Notamacropus eugenii: one gene and its partner. The main gene of each other region encodes a partner of the protein of the gene in region 2 in a complex. Links are inferred from orthologs where the notes say so. Each region holds a gene or a part of one and is shown on either strand. Other genes may lie near its edges. The genes, in order: ALKAL1 and LTK.

What was found.
Region 1: the proteins of LTK (region 2) and ALKAL1 are in contact, whole or in part, in a crystal structure (PDB 7NX0), measured with the Homo sapiens proteins. The link is inferred for Notamacropus eugenii from reciprocal best matches to the Homo sapiens genes LTK and ALKAL1. Residues at the interface, in NP_002335.2 of Homo sapiens: Tyr124, His140, Phe143, Ala250, Ser251, Pro252, Glu253, Leu359, Phe360, Leu361, Gln362, Leu364, Ala365, Val366, Glu368, Glu372, Glu374, Arg376; in NP_997296.1 of Homo sapiens: His93, Arg96, Leu97, Asn100, Thr101, Arg102, Glu103, Arg112, Arg115, Leu116, Arg119, Leu120, Ser123.

Annotation. Positions count from the first base shown.
Region 1 is NC_092875.1:270,219,354-270,226,561, reverse strand, and holds the start of ALKAL1 (ALK and LTK ligand 1), read left to right. Parts: upstream 1-4,136; 5' UTR 4,137-4,176; intron 4,177-5,625; 5' UTR 5,626-5,636; coding exon 5,637-5,997; intron 5,998-7,208. UniProt on the Homo sapiens protein: Cytokine that acts as a physiological ligand for receptor tyrosine kinase LTK, leading to its activation. Monomeric ALKAL1 binds to LTK, leading to LTK homodimerization and activation.
Region 2 is NC_092878.1:27,621,783-27,629,157, forward strand, and holds the start of LTK (leukocyte tyrosine kinase receptor), read right to left. Parts: upstream 3,004-7,375; 5' UTR 2,914-3,003; coding exon 2,871-2,913; intron 1,687-2,870; coding exon 1,543-1,686; intron 1,281-1,542; coding exon 1,115-1,280; intron 845-1,114; coding exon 694-844; intron 565-693; coding exon 418-564; intron 259-417; coding exon 99-258; intron 1-98. UniProt on the Homo sapiens protein: Receptor with a tyrosine-protein kinase activity. Following activation by ALKAL1 or ALKAL2 ligands at the cell surface, transduces an extracellular signal into an intracellular response.

The DNA of each region.
Region 1 (7,208 bases), on a different chromosome or scaffold from region 2:
TCAATGAGAGGGACTGAGGAAATATTAAAAATACCATTTTCTAAAGCTTTCTGGTTAGTAATATTTCAAACATGGCAGGAACTGTTTTTCCAGCTTGCCAAAGAAGGTTCTGGAGTGAGGTTTAATAGGATTTTGCCAGAACAAAAGAATGGCAATAGATTGTAATGATAATAATAGCTAACATTTATATAGTGCCTACTGTGTGTCAGGCATTGTGCTGAACCTTGTGATTATCTTTGCTATCTCATTCAATCCTCACAACATCCCCGGGAGATAGGTACTATTATTACTGCCATTTTTTAGATGAGGAAACTGAGGCAAACAGGTTAAGTGACTTGCCCAAGCTCACACAGCTAGTGTCTGAATCCAGATGTAAACTTGGGTTTTCCTGACTCCAGGCCCTACACTCTACTCACTGCACCCCACTGATAGAAGATATCCTTACTTCCATGTACCCAAAATAAGTTCTTTTTTGTACATGATGTTTGACCCTGTTCTTTTGAATTTTTTTTTCACCAGTTCAACTTATAGGGTGCCTTTACTATATAAAACTCCTGTTGACTCTGAATCCAGAAAAAATAATAAATTGTTTTCTTCAAAGTCACAATTTTATAGTGCTTCTTCCAGGTTCCCCTTTAAGTTGAGTACTCTGAAAATATTTTCAAGGGACAAGAAAATTACTTGAAAGCATTGAGATTATTTTGATGATTTTATGAGATTAATATTTTTTAGTCATTCTACTTTGATCTACCTCTAATGAAAAAGTTTTCTTCAGTTGTCTTTAGTTTATCCTTCACTTCCTCCTTCCAAGTTCTCTTTGTTCTGGAATGACTCTGAGCTTGCAAAATGAATGCAAGGGATCTCAGTAGATGGTTCATTTAACATAATGTCCCACAAAGTGTCTAATAAATGTTGATTGATGGATTAATAGATCATAGAAAGTCTGGTTTACTGGCATTTGTGTTAGGTTTGAAAAAAATGAGAAAACAATCAATATCCAGGAAAAAGGCAATGGTTTTAGGTATGAACAAAGGTAAGGAAGTGGGAGAATAAAGGATATTTTCATGAGGCAGAGAACACTCCAGTTTGTTTCAGGAGGGGTGTAAGTGTGCAAGATTGTGGAGAATCTTGAATGCCAAGGAAGAAAGTTTGAATTTTATTCAGTAGGAAATAGTATGTTCTTGAAGATTTTTGAGCAGAAGAATTTAACAGGTTGATGAATAGATGACTAGATGTATCTATAAGGAAGATATTTTGGTAGTGGCATGAAGGATACATTGGAGGTGGCAGAGTTGAGTTAAAAAACCCACTGGAAAGTTATTTTTAAAAATTAAATATTATTTGCAGTTCTGATTTCTCTACCTGGCCCTATATATCTCCTCCATCTGTTGAGAAGGCAAGAAAAAAAAAAGAGAAGAAAAGTTTTGGGTTTTTTTGTGGCATTTTGAGTCCATCTCTTTTTATATTGAGGTAGATACCATATTTCATCATAGACCTTTTAGAATTGTGGTTGGTCATTATGTTGATCAGTCTTCCTATGTCTTTCAAAGTTATTTATCTTTCTAATAATATTACTATTGTATGAATTGTTCTCCTAGCTCTGCTGACTTCACTTTGCATCATGTTATACAAGTCTTCTCAGGTCTATTTTTTTCTTTTTATTTCTGGAAACCACCCCCTTCATCACTTCATATGGCATGATAATGCATCACTTTCATATACCTTAACTTGTTCATTAATTAGATTAAAAAATAAAACAAAAAAGATCAAAAAAAGAAATGAGACCTTTTCAGAGAAACTTCTTGCAAAAATTTCCTCTTTCCCATTTCTTATGTCTCTTCTTATTTTATCTGCTTTGCTTTATTTATGAAAGCTCTTTTGAATTATTTAAGTAAGATTAACCATTAGGAATTTATGTTAATATATTTGGGAGTAATGTGAGTTTGTACTAGTATGGCTGTTGTGAGACTAGGCAGGATTGATGGCATAAAGGAATTTATAGAGGTAGAATTGATAGAATATGACAATTGACTGGAAGTGAGAGGTGAGGAAAAGGGAACCTTCCAAGGCAATTCAAGATTACAAACATGGGAGATAGTGTGTATAATGATGCCACAGACATAAATAATGAGGTCAGACATATGGCCAAGCTTGAAGCAAAAGATGGTGTTTAGTTTTGATCTTTGGTTTTGAAAATGTTGAATTTGAGGTGTCAGTAGAGGAACATGTCTGGTACAGAGTTATGATATCAGAGTTACGATATCATAAGAGATATTGGGACTGGAGATCTAGATTTTAGAAATTATTTATTTAGAGGTAGTATATGAAGCTGTGGGAATGAACAAGTTTTACAACTGAGAAAAGGTAGAGAGAGAAGAGGGCCAAGGACAGAAATCTGGAGAACACCCACACTGGGGAGAAGTAAGGCAATGTGGAGGATATAGAGAAAAGCAACAGAAATGGCAAACCACTAGAATGTGGTGTTTTCAAAATGAGGGGAGAAGGTTGTCTGGCATAACCTTTGGTGATCAACACTATCAAAAACTGAAAACTGTTAAAGAAAATAAAAAGTAAGAAGCATCCATTGGCTTTGGTGACTAGGATGCCACTAGTGACTTTTGAGAGAGTAGTGTCAAGTCATCATTCTTGGTAGTTGTAGTGATGGAGAGAATCAAATTGTGAAGTGGATGGTGAGGAAATATAGATGTCTAGTATTGATAACTTTTCTCAGGCAGTTTAGTGGAAAAAGAGGAAAGGAAGTTGAAGAGTGGGACTGAAGAGGAGGATTTGGGATTTCTTTTGTTTGTTTTGTTTTGTTTTTAGGATTGGGAAGTAGACAAATCAAAAGGAACTCTTGAGGAGAAAAATTTTCTGAAGATGTACTCAATGTCATGCAGTACAATACAATGGTATAATAAACATTTATTAAGTGATCACTATGTTTAAGGAAGTGTGTTAGATGCAGAGGATACAGAAAAAGAACAGTTCTACATTTTGCCATCCCTACATGTGAGAGGGGATGGCTTCTGGGACAAAGTTCTATAGGATACAGTAAGAATGGTCTGAAGGTCACAAGTAGAACGATTATTCCTAGTAAGGAGGAGGAATTGATTTTAATGTTAAGAAATTCAGGAATACAGATGTGGAGCTAAGGGACCTCACATTGGTTGGTTTCAGTCATCCCAGCGAAGGAGATTAAATCTGCTTTAAGTGTGGAAGGTGGAAGTGAGCTGGTAGAAGAAAAGGTTTGCAATAGTTGCTATGTGGAATGAGGTAGGGAGTCAAGATTAAAAAAGAAGGCAAATGAAGCCAACTGGGGAAAATGAACCCGGAGAACTGAGATGGGTCAAGGAAACAAAGACTAGAAGGGCAAAAAATTGGTTTAGTGTCAAGGAATAGGGGAGGTAAAAGGACAAGAGGTTGTAATATGAAAGTAGTTTGGTTACCAAACCTGAAGGAGTTTCTTGAGGCATAAACACATTAACACACTTCCCTAGAGTCTCAGAATTAATGAGTGTAAGAGGCTAAATTTGAATCCAGATCCTTGTTTCAAGTCTACACTCATTATTGTCTCTTCAATTAAATATAAAACTAAATATATATCTACTCATAATCAATAACTATAATTATCTGACAAACAACATTTACTTATAATTGTCTTATAATTGTCACTTTACTTAGAACTAAAGAATTTCATTTCATTTTTCATTTAGTAGAACTTACAAGTTTTGAATAGGGATTTTTTTGAAGTTTAAAAATGCTGTCATCCTTTGTGTCCTTTGGTAAGCATTACTGATTTACAGAGAAATTAGATTTCACAAAAAGATCTGAGGCACTCTAGCCGATGACTCTTCCCTTGAGTGCAGCCCACAGAGGGGAAAAGGAAACAATAGAAGTTTGACATGAATAGCCAGGATGAATTGAAGAAAAGATTACCTAAAATGTCCTCGTCATTTGCCACCCACCCAAAGCCTACTAGTGCTCATTTGAACATGCTCGTATAAAACAAAGGAGTGGACTCCAGAGGGGCACTCACTTACTGTCTCCTGAGCGGGTGTGAGAGCCACACTTGCTCCAATCAGAGGGAGTCCTCCGCCATAAGCAAGAACTAAAGGGCAAGAGAAGACAAAGCATTTGCATTTTGCCAGTGAAGAAGGATTTATTCATCTGCATAAGGTAAACTCCCCATACTTCAAAGAGCATCTCATAGAAAGGCATTTTTTTTTTTTTTTTTTGCTTTACTCTGTAACCTGAAAGCTACTCTCTTTAGTATCCAGCAGATAGGTAACTTCTTGGGTGGTTAAAACTTTTGGCTGGTTTTGGTAACCACAGAAGGAATTAAACAATATTATTCCTCAGAGGTTAGTGTGAGCAGTTCCCAGGATGTAAAGAGAAGGAGGAGGAGATTCCCTGTAAGGATGCAAAATCGTAGTCCAGGAAAGGTTTGCATTTAAACTATTGTCTTAAGAATGGAATTATCATTTTTCCTCTGAAAAGTTAATTGTGTTTTACACATCTCCTTGACTGAGGGTGAGTAAAATTTAAAAGAGACCTGGTGTTTTATTTATTTAGAAAGAAAGGGAGGGAGGGAGGGAGGGAGGGAACAAGAAAGGAAGAAAAGAGGGAAGGCACGAATGGAAGGAAGGTAATAATAGAACGAAGAAAAGAAGGAAGGAAAGAAAGAAGGAAGAAAGGAAGCTTTGTTTGGTGAAGTAGAGAGGACCCCAGGAAAAGCAGCCAAAGCATGGGGTTGGTAGACTTTTTTATCCCCTCAGGTTTGCCAGGGGATAGAAAAGTCCTCCAAAGTCCAATTCCTCCCTCTCCCCACCCCCACTCCCGCCCCTTCTTTCTCCCCTTTCTTCTCACTGTACTTATAGGGGAATCTCTATAGTAATTGTGTGCTAGTGACATTCTAGTGTCAGAAAGCTTTAAGCGCATGGCTTGCTGGCCAGTCTGGCCCATGGTTCATCTCCCACATGCCTGAGTGGCACTGGGTAGCTGATGGATGGTTCGAATTTCACAAATTACCCACGAGAGGCTTCTTTTCTTGAGATTCTGAAGTTGATTCGTGTCAGATCATACATAGCTTCCTGGGCAATCGGGCTAAACCCATCTTTTCCTTTCTCCTTTCCCTCCTCCCTGTGCTCCCGCCCACCTCTGGAAAAGTTCTCCATCTTCTTGAGAGCCTCTTGGGCTATTGCCCGCTCCCCAAGGCACTGCTTTTCGGGCATTTGAACTGCAAGGACTGAGGCAGGGGCTGATGGACCGGTGAGGGATACTTGTCCGGGACAGTCCAACAGTGCCAATACTCTTCCCCCCGGGCAGGGGCGGGGGGTGGGAAGGGCTCCCAGGGGTAGTAAGGTTCTGGAGGCCAGGGATAAGGATTGCAGAAAGACTACATTTTAGACCTAAACAAGACCCTCACTTGCTTTCTTCTTCCTTTTTTCTTTTTCCCGCTCCCCCTCCATCATCCTTGATCGGGTTTCTTTCCTTAGACATCTGAGTCTCTTCCTTCCCAGTCCAGTCCAGGTTAGGAATTCGTTCCAGACACGTGCTGGGCATGGCACTGGGAGGATCTAAATGTTGCTGTTTTCTTTCTTTTTCGCCTTCCTTCTTTCTCTTTAGACGCACAGAAGATGCAGGCAGTTAGCGAGTGGCCCAAGCTGCCTACCCTCTTCCTCTTAATTCTCGCTTTGGCCTCCCAGGAGAGCCAAGGAAGCCCCCGGGGCCGCAGGCAAGCAGGAGCGCAGGGAGATAAAGGGAAGCTTCTCCATCTACTACCAGCGCCCGCAGCTTCCAGTGGCGCCCACGTCCCGCAGCACCTCGGCGCGGGCAAGGTGCGCTCCTCTAGTCAGCGGGAGCGCGTGGTGTATGCAGCCCCCTCCACTTCTTCGTTCTCCGAACCTCAGAGGGACCACGACCGGGCACTGCTGTTCTCCGCCTCCTCCTCCACTGAACCAGCCGGCTCCTGGATCTTCAGCGTACCCAGGAGCGCAGGTAAGAACGATTCCCAAACTTGATTCTTTGCTTCGGCGCACCTGATCTGCATCCAACTTCTGGACATTGGAACGGACTGCGGCTTGAGAGAGCCTCCTGTCTCATGCCAGAAATCCCAGTCTCATTGTGAAAAGCAAAAACATGAAATTTACACCCTCTCTGAAGCTTTCCATTCTAAAATCTACCTCTGGGATTGGTGCTTTGGTCCGGGGACTTTGAGAAGAGAAGGGAGGGGAAGGATATGTTCTGGGATCCAAGGAAGAAAAAAGGGAATAAATTATGCTGAGGCGAATAGAAGTCTCAGTCACGGAAAGAAGTTGAGTTAAACTCTTCTGCACGAATTTGGGCTTTGATTTCATTTAAGGACAGTGAGAGGTTTACGTTTCTTCCCAGCTGGCCACACACGTTGATTTCCGTTATTGTTAAAGACGGAGGGATAAAATGCAAAGATTGCTGGATTGAGAGTAAGCACTATCTAAATCTAAATTGTTTAGAGCTGGATTTGGAGCCAGAGGACCTGTGTTCGAAACACTGTGACCTTGGGCAAGTCTAAAGCTCTCTGAGTCTCTAAGATCCTTGGTAGTTTGAAATCCATTTTCTTATGATCTAAATTTCCACCCACTAATCAGTTTCTCTAGGTCTTTTAAAATTGTGGGTGGGTCTGGAAAGAGACAGAATCGCCCAAACTTCTTTGGGGAGTAAGTTGCCAGGAGGTGAATAGTGTGTGGAGGGGGAGAGAAGACTGGTAATGGAAAGAGTGAGTAGAGAAGGAAGTAAAAGAAGACTAAAGATATTGGCTAGAATGAAAAGGACAGAAATTACATGGAAGATCTATAAAATTGTAGGGGAAAGAGGAGATGGTATTTACATATATATCACAAAACATGTTCAAATTTATTATTCCCTTGGTCCCTGCACACTTGGGACAAACTATTATTTTCCTATTCCACACACACAAATACAGTTTTACATTTGAAGAAAGCAAGGACAGTCAGATAACTTCATGGTGGTTACATGACTGAACCAGAACTAGAATTCAGATCTTCTGATTCCAAGGCCAGTGCCCTTTCCACTGTACTGCTGCTATGCCAAGCTAGCAAAATGCCCTAGGAAACTTGAAGAAATAAAGAGTTGGAAGAGTTGGTAGTTAACTTACTCGTTTTTTCATCTTTGTTCATTGGTCCTTAATACTAGATTGTTGTTAGTGATTT
Region 2 (7,375 bases):
CGGACCAGAGCCTGAGCCGGGGCGGGCAGCCCCAAGGAAGTTTTGGGGAGCGACGCCACACTCCAGCCGGTCATTTAGGGTCCCGGGCTCCCTCTCACCTGCGGCCCCGCCCCTCCCGCCTCTCCCAGGAGCAGAGGTCCGGTTCTCCAGCTTCTCTTGGGTCGCCCTCAGCGAGCCTCTCTGTAGTCTTCTAAGATAGGCTCGGCCCCCGCCGCCTGCAGCCACCAGCAGAGGCTCCAGTTCTCCGGACTGCAGCTGCTGAGAAAGTTATGGGTACTGTCAGGGGTGCTCCCAAGGGCCCTCCTTCACGGGGGCCGGGAGGATGAAGGAGGGCCCTCGGGGCCTGGGGATGGAGACACAGCCAGGAAGAAGGATCCAGGGAGCCCTGGGGACGGCGGGGGAATAGAGGGGACCTACCCGGAAGACGTAGGAGGCGCCCCCCCCGCCCCCGCCCCCTCCAGCCCAGCGTCTGGGACCCAGGAACCCTGGGGCTCCAGCCGCCTTCTCTTCCTCCTCCGCTGCTGAGGACGTCCCGAGACAGACGTCTTGGCTCTCCGGGCTCCCCTGCCAGCACAGAGTGGGACAGAACAGACAGTGGGTTCCGACAGCTCCCCGTTTCCTAGCCCGCTTCCTAAACACTCCAGGCGGTCTCCGTCCCCGCGCCCGCCCTTTCCCATACCCCCCACTGCTTACTCCGGGACAGGCATCCCCTCCCTGCTGCCCCACCAGGATGTAGAGCAGCTCCCCTTGGCGCAGGGTGAAGACGGACGAGACGAAGACCCCGTGGGCGCGGGAGTTGTGGTTCTTGGCGCCTTTGCCTCCAGCGGCCCCGTAGGCAGAGATCCTGGGGGAAGCCAGCCCTGGCTCCTTAGCCATCCCCACCCGGGGCTCAGATCCCTCCCACGGTGACCGCTCTCCAGACCTATCTCCAGCTCCATAAAGGTTTGGTGTTTTGTTTTGGTTTTTCGTGGCGCAGGGAGGAGAAGGGGGCGAGGTCAGGCCACGGCGGGCTGGGGTCCTAGGCTTGACGGGCGGAATCCGTGCTCCTTTGCTTCACCTCTACATCCCTATCGTTTCCTAACGCAGTGGGGGCAGTCCCTGGACGAGCACTTACAGATAACGGTCGAGGGCTGGCACCTTCCAGAGCTGCACCCCTCGGAGGGAGCCCTCTGCTCCCACGGTCACCGCCACGTTGCCGCCCTCGTACGCCCCGTCGCACTGAGCCTGCGTGGGGCCGCGCCTCCCGCTAGCTCCGCAGGTGGAGAATTGCCACTGGCCGTCTAGTCCGGGGGACAGAGGGGAGGGGGACGGTCACTGAGGACCCACCCACGTCCTGTTCAGCTGCTCATAGCTGAGGTCTCGAAAGGCTTGCAAAAGCGAGCCCAACGTGGCTTCTTTTGGGGGGGCCCAGGAGTTACAGCAGTGAGACGTCGGTGGGGCTAGAAATGTCTGCGCGTGAGTCAGGATTGTGAGACTAGGAGAACCGGAGGAGGGGAGTTGTGGGGTTTGGGAGGGAGCAGCCAGGGACACCCGAAGTCTCACCGGAAAGGCCATGGGAAGCTGCTGGCTCCTGAGTGCCACTCTGGGAGGCGACACCAGTCCTCTGGAGTCTGGGGACAGGAGGCGTCAGAGAAGGAGGCAGGGAAGGGACCGGAGACTCGGAACTCGAAGAGCAGACAATGACACCTGCAGAAGAAATCCAGACATGACAGGCGGGGATTAGAAAGGTGTGGCAAATGGCTTTGGCTGGAGTTTCAGCCCTGCCACAAACGGCTGTGTGACCCTGGGCAAGGAAATGGGCCTCAGTTTCCTGGTCTGTAAAATTAGGCCTAGGTCAGATACGCTTAGCCATTTTTGTCATAAACCTTCTGGCAGTCTCATGAGGTCTATGGATGCCTTCTCAGAATAAAATAAAATACAGGGGATTACAAAGAAAATCAATGATAATTAAATAAAGATGTAATTTTCCCTCCTTCAGGTCAAGAACCCCGGTCTAGATGATCTCAGGTTCTTTCTCGCTCTAAAATTCTATAATCCCTGTGATTTGACGGTATTAGTGGTGGGCACAGAAACTCGTCAAAACCTGCTTCCTAACCTTGGGTTAAAGAGCTCTCTACCTTCAAAGTAAGGTGAGGAGTAGGGAGAGATAGAGATGATTCACTGAGCATGAAAAGAAGAATAAGGAAGACCTCGGAAGAACCCCCTTGACGCTTTGCCTTGGCAAAACCATGCAGACCCTCACCACAAGTGCACAAGGAGATACCCATCAGTATGGCCACTCCCTCTCCCGAGCGCTTGACACCCCCCCCTCCCCCCCCCCCCCCCCCCCCCCCGCTGTTGTTCCTGGTGGGCAGAATCCAGAGCTCGGAGAGGTACTGATCCTGCCTCCCCATCAGCTCAGTGACCTACTGGGCTGGGCCCCTTCCCTACCTCACATCATTCTCCCCTGGCTCCCCCCAAACCGAGTCTCCCCCTGCTTCCCCAGGGTCTCAAATTTATTCCGAAAGGACCGGAGCCAGGAGTGCCCCTGATCTCCTGGGACTTGGATCCAGTGCACTACTCAGGGAGAGGGCCCCTGGAGAAGAGACATCGCAGAAAAAGTGGAGGGGTCATCTGGGCCATACTACCCGCCCTGGCCACTGTGAGACGACCTATTGTGGACCTAAGAGGTGCAGGTTTCCGGGTCCCTCCCAACGACCCTGCCTACCCCCATCCACCCTGACAGGTTGCAGGAGAGTAGGAGCTTCTGGGCTTGCATGCCAGAAGACTCAGCTTGTCTTCACTCCTGTCCCAACCTCCCTAACACGGGACGAGGCTGGGTGGGGCCCCTCGGGTGCTGAATACGAGCGGTCGGTGGCTATGACGCTTACCTCCAGAGCTGAGCCACAGCAGCAAGTGGACCAGGCCTCCCATCACCCCACCCGCAGGGGCCAGCCAGGTGCGGGCAAGGACTCCGCAGACGCTGTGCTGGACTGTCAGACGGCCTGAGGCTTATAGGAGTGTCCAGCAGCCCCAGGGTACCTCAGGGTCCTAGAGCCCGCCCCAGCCACACCCGTTTCAGACCCGTGGTCAGAGCAGCTCAGGAACCAGGGAAGCGGAGGGGGCACAGTGAGTCGGCACCAAGTTCCAGCATATGACTAGCCAAATCCTCAAAGAACCAATTCCAATTTTGACCAAAAATCACCTTGGCCTCTGACCAATGACAGGTTAAGAATGGGGAGAAGCCAAGCAGCCCCTCATAATGCCCTGGGTTTTTGGGCCCCAGCTACATGGATGCCCTAGGGAGCTAAGGAGGAAATTCGGAGGCAGAGAAGTCGGACAACGAAGTCGGTCCTTCCCTGGGCTTCATTGATAGCAAGTTGTCAGGTGTGATGTCAGCTAGTTTTATCCTGGGAGAGATGGAGTGTGGGGTTTTGTATGACTCTTGAGGTGTAATTTTTAAACTTTGTGATTATTCTATCCAGTCTCTGGATTAGAGGTCTGTTAGCCCAGAAACTAACACTGCATATTACACCCTCTTACATACCCACCTTACATACTACACACCCATGCCATAAATCCCTTTTCTCACATTCATTTCATGTACAAGGATGTGCACTGGGGGGGGGGGAGGGGGGAGCACTGGACTAACTAGGCAGTCAGGCGACCTGAGTTCTACCTTCTGGTGTGAACTTGGGCAAATTCTTACTCTCTCTGAGTCTTTTTTCCTCAGCTATAAAGTAGGGTCATTACCTGCCCTGCTTATCTCTCAAGCTTGTGTGTTTGAGTTTTTTAAGACACAAATCTAAGGCATGAAGTGGGGTAATGCATGGAATGCAGGACTTGGAATCAAGAAGAATTCCAATCCTGCCTCAGACACTTACTCGCTACAACCCTGAGCAAGTCACATAACCTCTCTCAGCTTCAGTTTCCTTTTCTGTAATGGCATAATAGATAATAATAGTACCTCCCTCACAGAGGTGTCCTGAGAATCCAATGAGACAACACATGCACAGTGCTATGCAAACCTTAGAGTGCTATAAAAATGCTATTAGCAATTAGCTAATTGTTGGTATTGTAATATGTCCCAAAGTGTTAAGGTTTGTTGGGTGCACTTTAGAAAGTCAAAATATTCAGATAATATAGGCCTTGTCACTGTTCACAAAATGTGGGGAGGAGTAATCTGATTAAATGGGAAGGGCAGCTAGCCACTGGCTGCGTAGAGATGGGCCACATCCCTGGAAGACTTAAAAAGTTAATCCTGAATCATATAAAAAAACTTGCTCCAAATCACTATTAGAGAAATTTACATTTTAAAGCAACTCTGAGATTCCATCTCATACCCATCAGATTGGCAAAACTGACCCCAAAATGACAACTGTTGAATGGGCTTTGGGAAAACAGAGACATTAATGTGTGTTGTTGGTGTCAAAATGGTATGGGCCATTCTGGAACAAAATTTGGAACTAGGTCCAGAAGGTTACTAAGCTCTGCATGCTCTTTCACCTAGTGATACCATATCAGGCTTCTGCTCAAGGAAATCAAGGAAGGAAGCAAAGCATTCATATGTACACAGGGACAGCTCTATTTAAAGTGGCAAAAAATTGCAAGTTTAAGGTGTGCTCATCATTTGGGAAATTACGATATTTGAATATAATTATGATATTTGAATATAATGGAAGACCATTACGTCATAATAAAAGATAAAAGGGATGGTTTTGGAGAATCTGTGGAAGGATTTGTGTGAACTGATGCAGAGTGAACAAAACCAGGAAAAACAACTTATATAACAAATGTAAGGACAAGTATCTTTCAAGACTTAAAAATTCTGATGGAGTCAAGTTGCAGAATGACATATTCTTGGACAGAGCCAATGTGGAATTAGTTTTGCTTTTTCTATGTGTGTTAAAAGGATTTTGCTTTTTCTTTTAAATGAAGGAGGGAAAAATAAATGTTTAACAGAAAAAATAAAATAATTTTTAAAAAAGACTAAGTCTCCCAAGCCCTGAGGACAGTTTGATTTAGCATGAAGTCTTGCGGGCAGGAAGCAGCTGTGTGTAATATGGCTTTCAGCTCCTATCAGAGGTCAGTCAGGGATTGTGTTTTCCTCCCCAGACTCATTATCATCCTTGTCTTCTAGCATTGGAGCTACTCAATCAATAGGACCCACTAAAGGAAGAGGCAGCTCAGAATTCAGTGTGCTCAAGGCAGAAAACAAAAATACATACACTCCAGCAGGGACAAGAATTAGCTTTAAAATGCATGATCTCTGAGAGCAGAGAGCTGATTTTTTGATTCAATCAAGAACTATCCCTGGGAGTTGAGAGCAGAGCTTTGGAAGGCAGCAGACCTAGGGATCCCAACGGAACATCTTAACCCAGAAGAGATACTGTGCCTGGGATGGAGGAGGACTCCATGAAATGATATCAGGACTCTGCAGTCCCGGAGGGCATAAGACGCCCTGGTCACACAGGTCCTGATGGCGGTACCTCAGGACCAGCGTACTCTAATGAATGTGTTCCCCCTCTTTCCAGAGACATGTCTATGCGGGAAATTGTCCCCAGTCTTCCTGGAGGGAGAATACTCTGTAGCTGCAGTTCTTACCATGGCAAATAGTTTGCTTTGAATTGTGCCTAACGGCTATTAAACTCACCAGACTGGAGTTTGGGGAGGCCTGGACCCTTCCGCTACCCTGAGAATCTGGGAGTGGAGACCCAGTCTACAAGCTTGAGGGGGCTGAGTTTGAAAGGCAGCCCAGGGACCCTGGAAAGAATGTGTCAGTGGTGATTTCCTTATAGTCCCAGGCACTCAGACCAAGACATCCCTCTTATAGATACTGTCTCCCCCTGTTAGAAATAGAATGGGAACTCCTTTTTGTGTTCTTATCTCCAGAACTGACCTTGGCATAGAACAAGTGCTTAATATTTTCTCATGGATTTACTCATTTGTTCTAAGTTTTTTTACGCCTCAAAGCAATCATTTGAAGCAAATGCTAGTACCACAGGCATTACCCCCTTTTACACAGAAGAGAAATGAGGTACAGAAAGATGACCAGACCTGGTGGTTTCTTGGAGGAAGAGGACAAGCATTTATTGTCTGTTCTGTGTCCAGTACAGCGCTAAAAATCTTATTTCATTTGATCTTTACAACAACCTGGGGAGGTTAGGTGCCATTATTCCCCTCATTTGACAGTTGAGGAAACTGAGGCAGGTAGAGGTTAAGTGACTTGCCTAGGGTTACATAGCTAGGAAGTATCTCAGGTCTTCATAACTCCAGACCCAATGCTCTATGCACTGCAGGTACATATACTGTTAGCATCAGACCAACCCAAGTCTGCTCTTCCTGACTATAAACCCAACACTCCACCTACTTATGTGCTCATAATCATAACTCAATTCATCATGGTGTGGCTGGAGGTGATCTCAGAGAGACAGCACTTAGGGTCAAGTCCTCCCTCAAATTACTAGCTAGGTGGCCATGAGTAAGTTACTCAGATACCTCTCTAAGGTTAGAAGTTATAGTGAAAGGAATTGCCTATCAGGGGTGGGGAACTTTTGGCCTTGAGGCCACATGTGGCCTTCTAGGTCCTTGGGTGCAGCCTTTTGACTGAGTCCAAATTTTATAGAACAAATCCTTCTATTAAGGGGATGTGTTCCGTGAAGTTTGGATTCAGTCAAAGGGCCACACTTGAGGATCTAGAGGGCCACATCTGGCCTTGAGGCCAGAGGTTCCCTTCCCCTGGCCCTACACTGATGAAATTAAACATCTCTTTAACCACCAAAGCCCCCTTAAAGAACTTAAAAAAATCTTAAACAGGGTGATTTGGGGTATCTTGTCCAAAGGCACAAGACGGATGGGAAAGGCATGTTGTTTCTGCAAATGTGCCCAGGAAAAGGAATGTATGTTGTTCAGCACTCTGATATTATCACAGCTGTACAAGGAGAGGGCTTTGCTTTACACTGTATTTATTGTTTTTGTTAACAAACCATTGGGTGTCTTAAGCCTTAGTTTTACAGGACAGAAAGTTCAAAGTCAAAATGGAAACTGAAGGAAGGATATGAAAAACCTGAGAACACTGTATCTCTATCTGTACATGCAGATGGTGTGATACCTCCCATTACTGCCTTTGAACCAATTTCCTTCCCTCCACTCCCAATCTCTAGACTACAGGTGGATGCACACTGGTGTTGATCAATTGTTACTAAGGAGACTGTTGATGACTCCAATTGGGCTGCTGAGACAGCTAATTTCACCTAGGACTGGAAAAGATCCAGAAGTGATTCACACTTAAGATATCAGCACTCCTCAGGACCGGCTTCCAATCCCGAGGGTGGGCTAATAGGGGAAACCAATCTGCCACATGTTCTCTCTCTCCTCATTCCAGACCTGGTCCAAG